Rattus norvegicus: one gene and its partner. The protein of the gene in region 1 binds, or shares a complex with, the protein of each later gene. Links are inferred from orthologs where the notes say so. Each region holds a gene or a part of one and is shown on either strand. Other genes may lie near its edges. The genes, in order: Rps6ka1 and Synj2bp.

Evidence for each region.
Region 2: the proteins of Rps6ka1 (region 1) and Synj2bp are in contact, whole or in part, in a crystal structure (PDB 7P74), measured with the Homo sapiens proteins. The link is inferred for Rattus norvegicus from reciprocal best matches to the Homo sapiens genes RPS6KA1 and SYNJ2BP. Residues at the interface, in NP_002944.2 of Homo sapiens: Pro731, Ser732, Thr733, Thr734, Leu735; in NP_060843.2 of Homo sapiens: Arg18, Gly22, Leu23, Gly24, Phe25, Asn26, Ile27, Val28, Gln33, Ser45, Arg46, His78, Val82, Phe85, Arg86.

Annotation. Positions count from the first base shown.
Region 1 is NC_086023.1:151,381,466-151,385,280, forward strand, and holds part of Rps6ka1 (ribosomal protein S6 kinase alpha-1), read right to left. Parts: intron 2,809-3,815; coding exon 2,728-2,808; intron 2,543-2,727; coding exon 2,463-2,542; intron 849-2,462; coding exon 742-848; intron 1-741. UniProt on the Homo sapiens protein: Serine/threonine-protein kinase that acts downstream of ERK (MAPK1/ERK2 and MAPK3/ERK1) signaling and mediates mitogenic and stress-induced activation of the transcription factors CREB1, ETV1/ER81 and NR4A1/NUR77, regulates translation through RPS6 and EIF4B phosphorylation, and mediates cellular proliferation, survival, and differentiation by modulating mTOR signaling and repressing pro-apoptotic function of BAD and DAPK1.
Region 2 is NC_086024.1:106,934,426-106,938,240, forward strand, and holds part of Synj2bp (synaptojanin-2-binding protein), read right to left. Parts: intron 3,633-3,815; coding exon 3,496-3,632; intron 1-3,495. UniProt on the Homo sapiens protein: Regulates endocytosis of activin type 2 receptor kinases through the Ral/RALBP1-dependent pathway and may be involved in suppression of activin-induced signal transduction.

The DNA of each region.
Region 1 (3,815 bases):
CTGGACTCAGCCTCTTTAGCAGCTGGTACCACAGCGGAGAACCATAACGCCTGACTTAGCATGTGTCTGACTCTACCAACAGGATCTATCCCAGCTCTCCAGACAGCACTGGAAGGCAGTTCATTGGCCAACCCCAGAATGAACAGATCAAGAAATGATCTTTAGGGGCTGGGGATTTAGCTCAGTGGTAGAGCGCTTACCTAGGAAGCGCAAGGCCCTGGGTTCGGTCCCCAGCTCCGAAAAAAAGAACCAAAAAAAAAAAAAAAAGAAATGATCTTTAGAGGTGGGCGGTAGTAATACACGCCTTCAGGCCCGGCACTCGGGAGGCAGAGGCAGGCTGGTCTTGGTGAGTTTGAGGCCAGCCAGGTCTACACAGAGAGACCCAGTCTTGAACACCACCCCCTGCCCCCAAAAAAGGGAAAAAAGAAAGAAAATAGAAGCGATCTTTTAACAGCAGCATGTCCGATGTCACACTGTATTAGGAAGGAGGTCTGGGTGGGGCCCACAGCTGCCCTGCGGCCTTTAGTAATAGCCACACTTATCAGGCACTTCCTAATTATCTACGGTGAATTTGCTGCTGGCCAACCACTGCAACCACCCACCCCTCTGACAGCCCCAAAGAGAGATAAGTTCCCGGGGAGTGCCACACACTGAGTGAGTGGCCCAGTCCTAAAAGGCCCAAGGGCTGTCAGTCCCTGCACCCGGGAGAAAGGGCGGGAGTATGGCAGGGGCTTCGCTTACTTCTCAGGCTTGAGGTCTCTGTAAATGATGCCCAAGCTGTGCAGGTGGTCCAGGCCCAGTGCCAGCTCAGCCAGGTAAAACTTCACATCCTCCTCTGTAAACATAACCTGCCACAGGGAAAAAGACACCCATCCACTGGCACACCCTGTTCCCGAGGAGCCGGGCTACTGGGCAGTGGAGCCTCTTGGTGCTTGGGGGGGGGGGGGGGACGTAGGCAATGCAACTTCCTCTAATCTTTCTCTAACACGCAGTCTAATTGTATAGACGGACTGTAATAAAGAGTCAATATCTTTAATACCCGAGTCGCTCGCTGTGCTGGAGTTTGGAAACAGCAAAGAATGGAAACACCCAGGAATAAAAGACTGGAATAAACCGCCTCTCCTGGCGCAGGAGGGGGTGGGGAGGGAGGGGGTAGTGGGATGGTGGAGGGAGGGGTGTGGGGGCAGTTGGGGAGGGGGGAAGGGCAGCTCTGCAGCCATGACATAGAACAAGGAGTTTGCTCTTGTCCTGATGCAGAACAATCTGAGACACACTGACACCCGAGGCCAGGCACAGGACAGTGCGCAGGAATGAATACTTCTCATGTAAGAAAGTAGGGGTAGGGACTCAGAACATGTGTAGGATTTATTTACAGAAGGTTAAAAAAAAAACTAATTAAAAAAATGTTTACTTCCAGGGGGTAGAGGGACTGTGTAGTGATTAAGACTTGACCGTGCATATCTTTCTTTTGAATCATGAAAATGGACTGCCTGATGAACCATTATTTCTCTGAGGAGCCCTGGCTGTCCTAGAACTTGCTCTGTAGACGAGACTGGCCTTGAACTCAGAGATCACCCGGTCTGTCTCCCGAGTGCTGGGATTAAGGGTGTGGCTGCCGCCACCGCCCAGCTGAGCATTAATGTTTTAAATATTGAAAGTAAGTTTCTGAGAAAGTGAGACTCCCGGGTAAAGACTGGCTGCGTGTCTTTGAGCCCATGTGGTGGAAGCAGCGATCTAATTCCTACAAGTTGTCCTCTGGCCTTTATATGCACACCTGTGTGCCCACGAGTCTGTCTGTGTGTCCCCATGTAAAGTTTGCTGTCGGTGCTGTTTCAGAAAGAGTGACCTTTCCCCACACCCAGGCTGAATCAGGTCTTGGTATATTCTAGACAAACTCTCTACCACTGACTGACATCTCAGCCATATATATTTTAGTCACTCAGGCAGGCCTTCATGTTGTAATCCACCTGCCTCAGTCTCCCAAATAACTGTAACTTAAGGCCCGTGCCACAATGCCTGGTCAAGCTTGCTTCTCTCCCATGGTTGGATTGTATTAATGATCTTGGTTTTGAGAAATGACGTTCAGATCCTTTTCTACTGGGCCCTTTGTATTTTTTTCCTGTGGCGGTGGAGGCCTGTATTGTATTTTTTTTTTTTATATCAACAACATGACAAGGACCTTAAAGTCTTTAGCTTCCTGGGTGGGTTTGGACCTCTTCCCCTCGGCCAGCACACAGTCTATCTCAAGCATTTGAGGGATCGGCAACTAGAAATCACAGCAGTGTCACCTTTAGACCCCGTTCATCTTCAGCCCATCCTGAGAGAAATTCTCAGAGGCAGGTGGCATTTCTCGACTGTCAAACAGAGCCGGGAAGTTCCAGGCCGCACCACAATGACAGTGTTCCCCACAGGCCCAGGATGGGACTCTCTGTCAGGTCCCCAGCGGTGGGATGCTAGCTTACCTCCTTTGAGAGTCGTGTGAACAGGTCTCCACCACGCAGAAAGTCCAGAATAAGATAGAGCTTGCCCTCGGTCTGGAAGGCTAAGAGAGGAGGAAGCCAATGTGGGATCAGCTGGGCCAGTGTCAGCTTGTGACAAATGCCTCTACTCTGGGCTCCTTGGCCAGGCCCGTGAGAAGTTGGACAAGGGACAAGGAAGGCAGCAGGCTGTAGGTGAGGGTGGACGTTGAGGGGACGAGTGGCACTTGGGCAGGGTCTGGGGTCTCACCATAGTGCAGTTTCACTACGAAGGGGTGGTTCACGTCAGCTAGGATGTCTCTCTCCATCTTGGTCCGAACACGGTCACGCACTGGCCAGAGGAGAAAAGAAGGCACTAGTAGAACACACCCAACACAGCCTCTCCCCAAAGTCCACCTCTAGGTGAGGTTTCCCTCAGCCTTCCAAGGCCCCCCCAGGGTGCTCTCACCCTTGGGACGTTCAGCTAATTCTTTCCTTCTGGAATGTTCTGGGTCCTCAGGTGGCTCTTGGTCTCCTGGAGACGTCCAGGCATAGTCCTTGTGTCTTGCTCAGTTGTCTAGCCTCACCCACCACCAGACCCTGCAGCACCGTGTACCCCAGGGTGCTTAATTTTCTGAGGTCCCCGGCCTTTGACTCTGTATCCCTTCAGCACACACTTATCAAGCCTCTTTCGATCCTCCACAACAGCTTCTAAGTGTAATATTAAAACGCCATTCTGGGGTCTAAGCAGCCTTCCTTCCCTTGTTTTATTAACTTCCTTTTCCTCCAGTTGCTGGGGAGGATTATTTGAGACAAGCTCTCATGTAGGTCAGGCTTGCCTGGAAGTCATGATGTCGCCAACACTGGCCTTGAATGTCTGATCCTTCTGCTCTACCTCTACCCTGCGTTTCGATGACAAGTCTCGGGAATGTCTGGTTGGGGATGGGGATAAAAAAAGATGCCAAGCAAATTCCGACCACTAGCAGGTTTTTGGTTGACTAAGTTCAGACTTTACGGCCTCGGGGAAGCATCCCTACCCTGCAGGCAAGGCTGGGACCTCTGGGCTCCCACAAGCTGGCACTCCCCATCAAGACGTCAAGACGCATCTTATTGTGTTTTGATTCTTATGTTTCTCTCACTAGATGTGGCAGGGGCCTTGTGTGGTTGTAACTAATCCAGTCACTTTCAAACACACCTCACGCTTCAGCCACCAAAGGGACATGGTCCCTGCTTTCTGGGTTGGGGGAAGTCGTCCTTCCTTACTTTACCATCTTTTTTTTTTTTTTCTTTCCCGGAGCTGGGGACCGAACCCAGGGCCTTGCGCTTGGTAGGCAAGCGCTCTACCACTGAGCTAAATCC
Region 2 (3,815 bases), on another chromosome or scaffold:
CATTGAATCTGTAGATCGCTTTTGGTAAAATGGCCATTTTTACTATATTAATCCTGCCAATCCATGAGCATGGGAGATCTTTCCATCTTCTGAGGTCTTCTTCAATTTCCTTCTTCAGTGTCTTGAAGTTCTTATTGTACAGATCTTTTACTTGCTTGTTAAAGTCACACCGAGGTACTTTATATTATTTGGGTCTATTATGAAGGGTGTCGTTTCCCTAATTTCTTTCTCGGCTTGTTTCTCTTTTGTATAGAGGAAGGCAACTGATTTATTTGAGTTAATTTTATACCCACATGCTGTAAGTTTTAAAGCTAGATGAGCTATTGGTTTTAGATATCTACCTTCCTCTTCATTAACATTTCTCTCTACCACCCACCCACCACTAATCTCCGGTTCTTTCTCAACTCTTTTTTATAATTTAAAACAAAGAAATTTTTAAACTTTTTTTCTTGGATATTTTATGTATTTACATTTCAAATCTTATCCCCTTTCCCCCCCTTTCCCATCCCCCCTCCCTGCCCTGCTCCTATGAGGACGCTCCCACTCCCACCCACACACTCCCACCACCACGCCCTGGCGTTCCCCTACATTGGGGAAACGAGCTGTCACAGGACCAAAGGCTTTTCTTAACTCTTGAGACCTCCTAGTAATTTTGTTTCTCTAGGGAAAATGGACCACATAAGGTTCCTTGTCCTAGCTTATATCTAATACATTCTCTTAAATTCTGACTTATACCATTAATTCTACCCTTGGTAGAAAGGTTAATTTCAGTTTTCTCTAAGGCCATGTCTATCATCTACTAGTTATTTACTTCCTTTTTAGAGTAATTAATCTTACTTACTCATTTACCTTTTAGGAAGACAATATAGTGTTAATTTTAGTATTAGCATTAGTATTAGTAAGTAATTCAAATTCAGACAGGTTAAAGTTTTAGTTTACCAACACTAGTTGTATGACTTGTAAACCACCTGACTTCATCAAGCCTCAGTTTTCTTAGCTGCAAAATGGGCATGATTATACTCATTTCACAGCACTACCCTAATATTAAACAGCTTTACACTGAAGGTTCTGTTTTGTGCATATAAATTGTTCATAATTTTTTTTAGATAATCCATCTTTAAAGCTTTTTTTTAACAATATAGCTGTCTCTTCAGCCCCATACTAAACCCACTATTTTTCAAGTCTTTTTTTACTCGAGTATAGGTGCTAGTGCTCTGAGATATTGTGACACATTATACTTTTATTTTAACAACCCACTAACAATTTTTCTTTCTGTCCTATTGCAAACTCGGTTTGCAGTTTTACAATGTCTTTCTTCTAAGAGAGGTAGAAAAGACCTACTCCTAAATTCCTCGTCAGCATTTTCATATCAAAGGCGTTTAAGTTTCCCTATCTTGTAGACTAATGGAGAGGGCTTAGATGAAGCTTAGTAGGTGGCAGCATGGCCAACAGTGAGAGGAACTAACACAGCACCATCCACAGTGTTATACTTGTATGTCAGACACATTCTTCAGATTCTTGAATTAACTTGCATGGTTTCATGGCTACTTCTCTGATTTATGTGTATTTCTCTCTTGAAATAAGATCTTGCTAACTAATTCACAACTTAAACACAAACGTTCCTGCCTCTACTTCCTGAGTACTAGAGGACTGTATGGGTGTGTGCCACCATGCTTGGTGGTGTGTCTTCCTAAGGATCTCTCAAATACTACTCACATGTCAAATGAAAGAAAGGGAGACACTCTTATCTTTCATCTGTATCTCTGCCTTCACATACTGCTACCAAATGGGTTGGATGGCAGAGAAGTACCCACAAGCTGGTCTCTGAAAGGATCCGAAGGCTTCACACATACAACGTTTATTACTAATCAACTAAACTCTATGGCTTTTATCACTAATCAGCTGAACTCTGAGAGGCAACTCAAAAGAGAAAATACAAAACAAAACTAAAATAAAATCTTTAAAAGACATAGTCCTATTTTGTGGAAGTTCTAAATCAAGTATCTGACATAATCCTTAACTCTTAATCAAATTTTGTCTTGATCTACACTTCATTCACTTACTTCAGCCTTTTACCGGTTTGGCCCTCTTGCCCTATTCAGTTTTATAAGACAAAGTAGGAAATAATTGCTTTTTCTTAGACCATGAGCCACAATCCACAGCACATGTGGAAACTGGAAGCACTTCTGCAGGGAAAAGTCCCACCCTTCTTCGAATTCCTTTTAACTTGAGCACAGCCCTTAGAAGAAAGTCTAACTCACGGGGAATCCTAGATAGCAAGTCCCATTCCTTACACCAATCATGTGTGTTATTTTCGTAAAAATAAGCTGAGCTACAATAGCACAAAAAAATTGATTTGTAAGATTTTATAGCATGGTCTAACCATTCCCAAATGCCCAAAAATGATGGTATAATTAATGACACTGTTGCCAGTGAGATAGAACAGAAATTAAAAAAATACAGCCACATGTAAGAGTTTTAAAAGTCTTATTACACCTGGATTCTGATTTACTTTAGAAAGATTCAACTGACTGAGAGACTAAAGGTCTGGGGCTGAGGAGAGGGCTCAGCTGTTGAAATCATGCACCAACCTTTCTGAGGACGCAAGTTCAGTTTTCAGCAACCACATGAGGCAGCTCATAACTTCCTGTAACTCTTGCTCCAGGAGGATCCCATGCCTCTGGCTTCCATGACACCAGCACTCATGTGTACATTTTACCCTACAAACACACATACCTACCTACCTACCTACCTACACACACACACACACACACACACACACACACACACACACACACACTTAAAATAATAAAAAATTTAAAGGGTCTATGAGCCCATATGACTGTATTTGTTAGTCAACCTTTCTATTTTAAATTAATTTTCTGATTTGCTCATTTATTAAGCCTATGTTGAGCACTATACTAAGATATGGAAAGCTAAAAAATATTAATTCCTATTATTAAATACATAAAAATAGTAAGATTCATGATTACTATGTCATAAGATACATTAACAGGATGAAATGAGAACACGATTGACAGATATCCAAACTGTTCTTCATTTATAAGGCTTAATAATGGGTAAGGAAGCAGAAACTTAATCCTTACCTTGCTTTTTAAAGTTCAGACCATTATTAAGGGCTGACAGTCTCCCAAGAAAAGGCACAATTCAGTGTTTTAGTCAACAAAAGAGAAGTGATAAAATTATCAAGAGAAACTTGAAAAGTGTGGATGGACCTTAAATCTCCTTCCTCCTAGCCAGTCCTTCACCCCTACCTGCTTTGTGCTTTTTGAACTACGTCAAATTTGCCTGGCCTGTCAAGCAAGAATAATACTATCCTCCCAGCCTAGTGGTAAAGTTGGACGACTGATTGATGTTCTTCCTATTCAATGATATAATCTAAATATTTTCATTTCCAAAAAGGCAGGCCACAGAAGGAGTCAGATATGGTCTAGGAAGCAAAGTATAACAAAGGGAGCCGAAGCCATTTCTCACCGAGAGGATCTTATCACCCTCCTGGAGCCGCCCATCCCGGGCCGCAGCCCCATCCTCTTTGATGCGGCTGACGTAGATGCCACTGTCATTGGAGACATACTGTTGATCTGTCCCACCGACGATGTTGAAGCCCAGCCCTGAGAAAATCATGGAGGAGTGAAGGAGAGAGGGATGAAGAAGAAAGAAAGATTAGAGAAGAAAGGAGAGGAAAATGGTCTAGTGGGGAGGAGAGACTGACAATTCAGACCGTGAGGTAAGCTAAAACACAGTCATGGACAGTCAGTGAGTCATTATGAACAAAGGCCGAAAGTACCTAGATT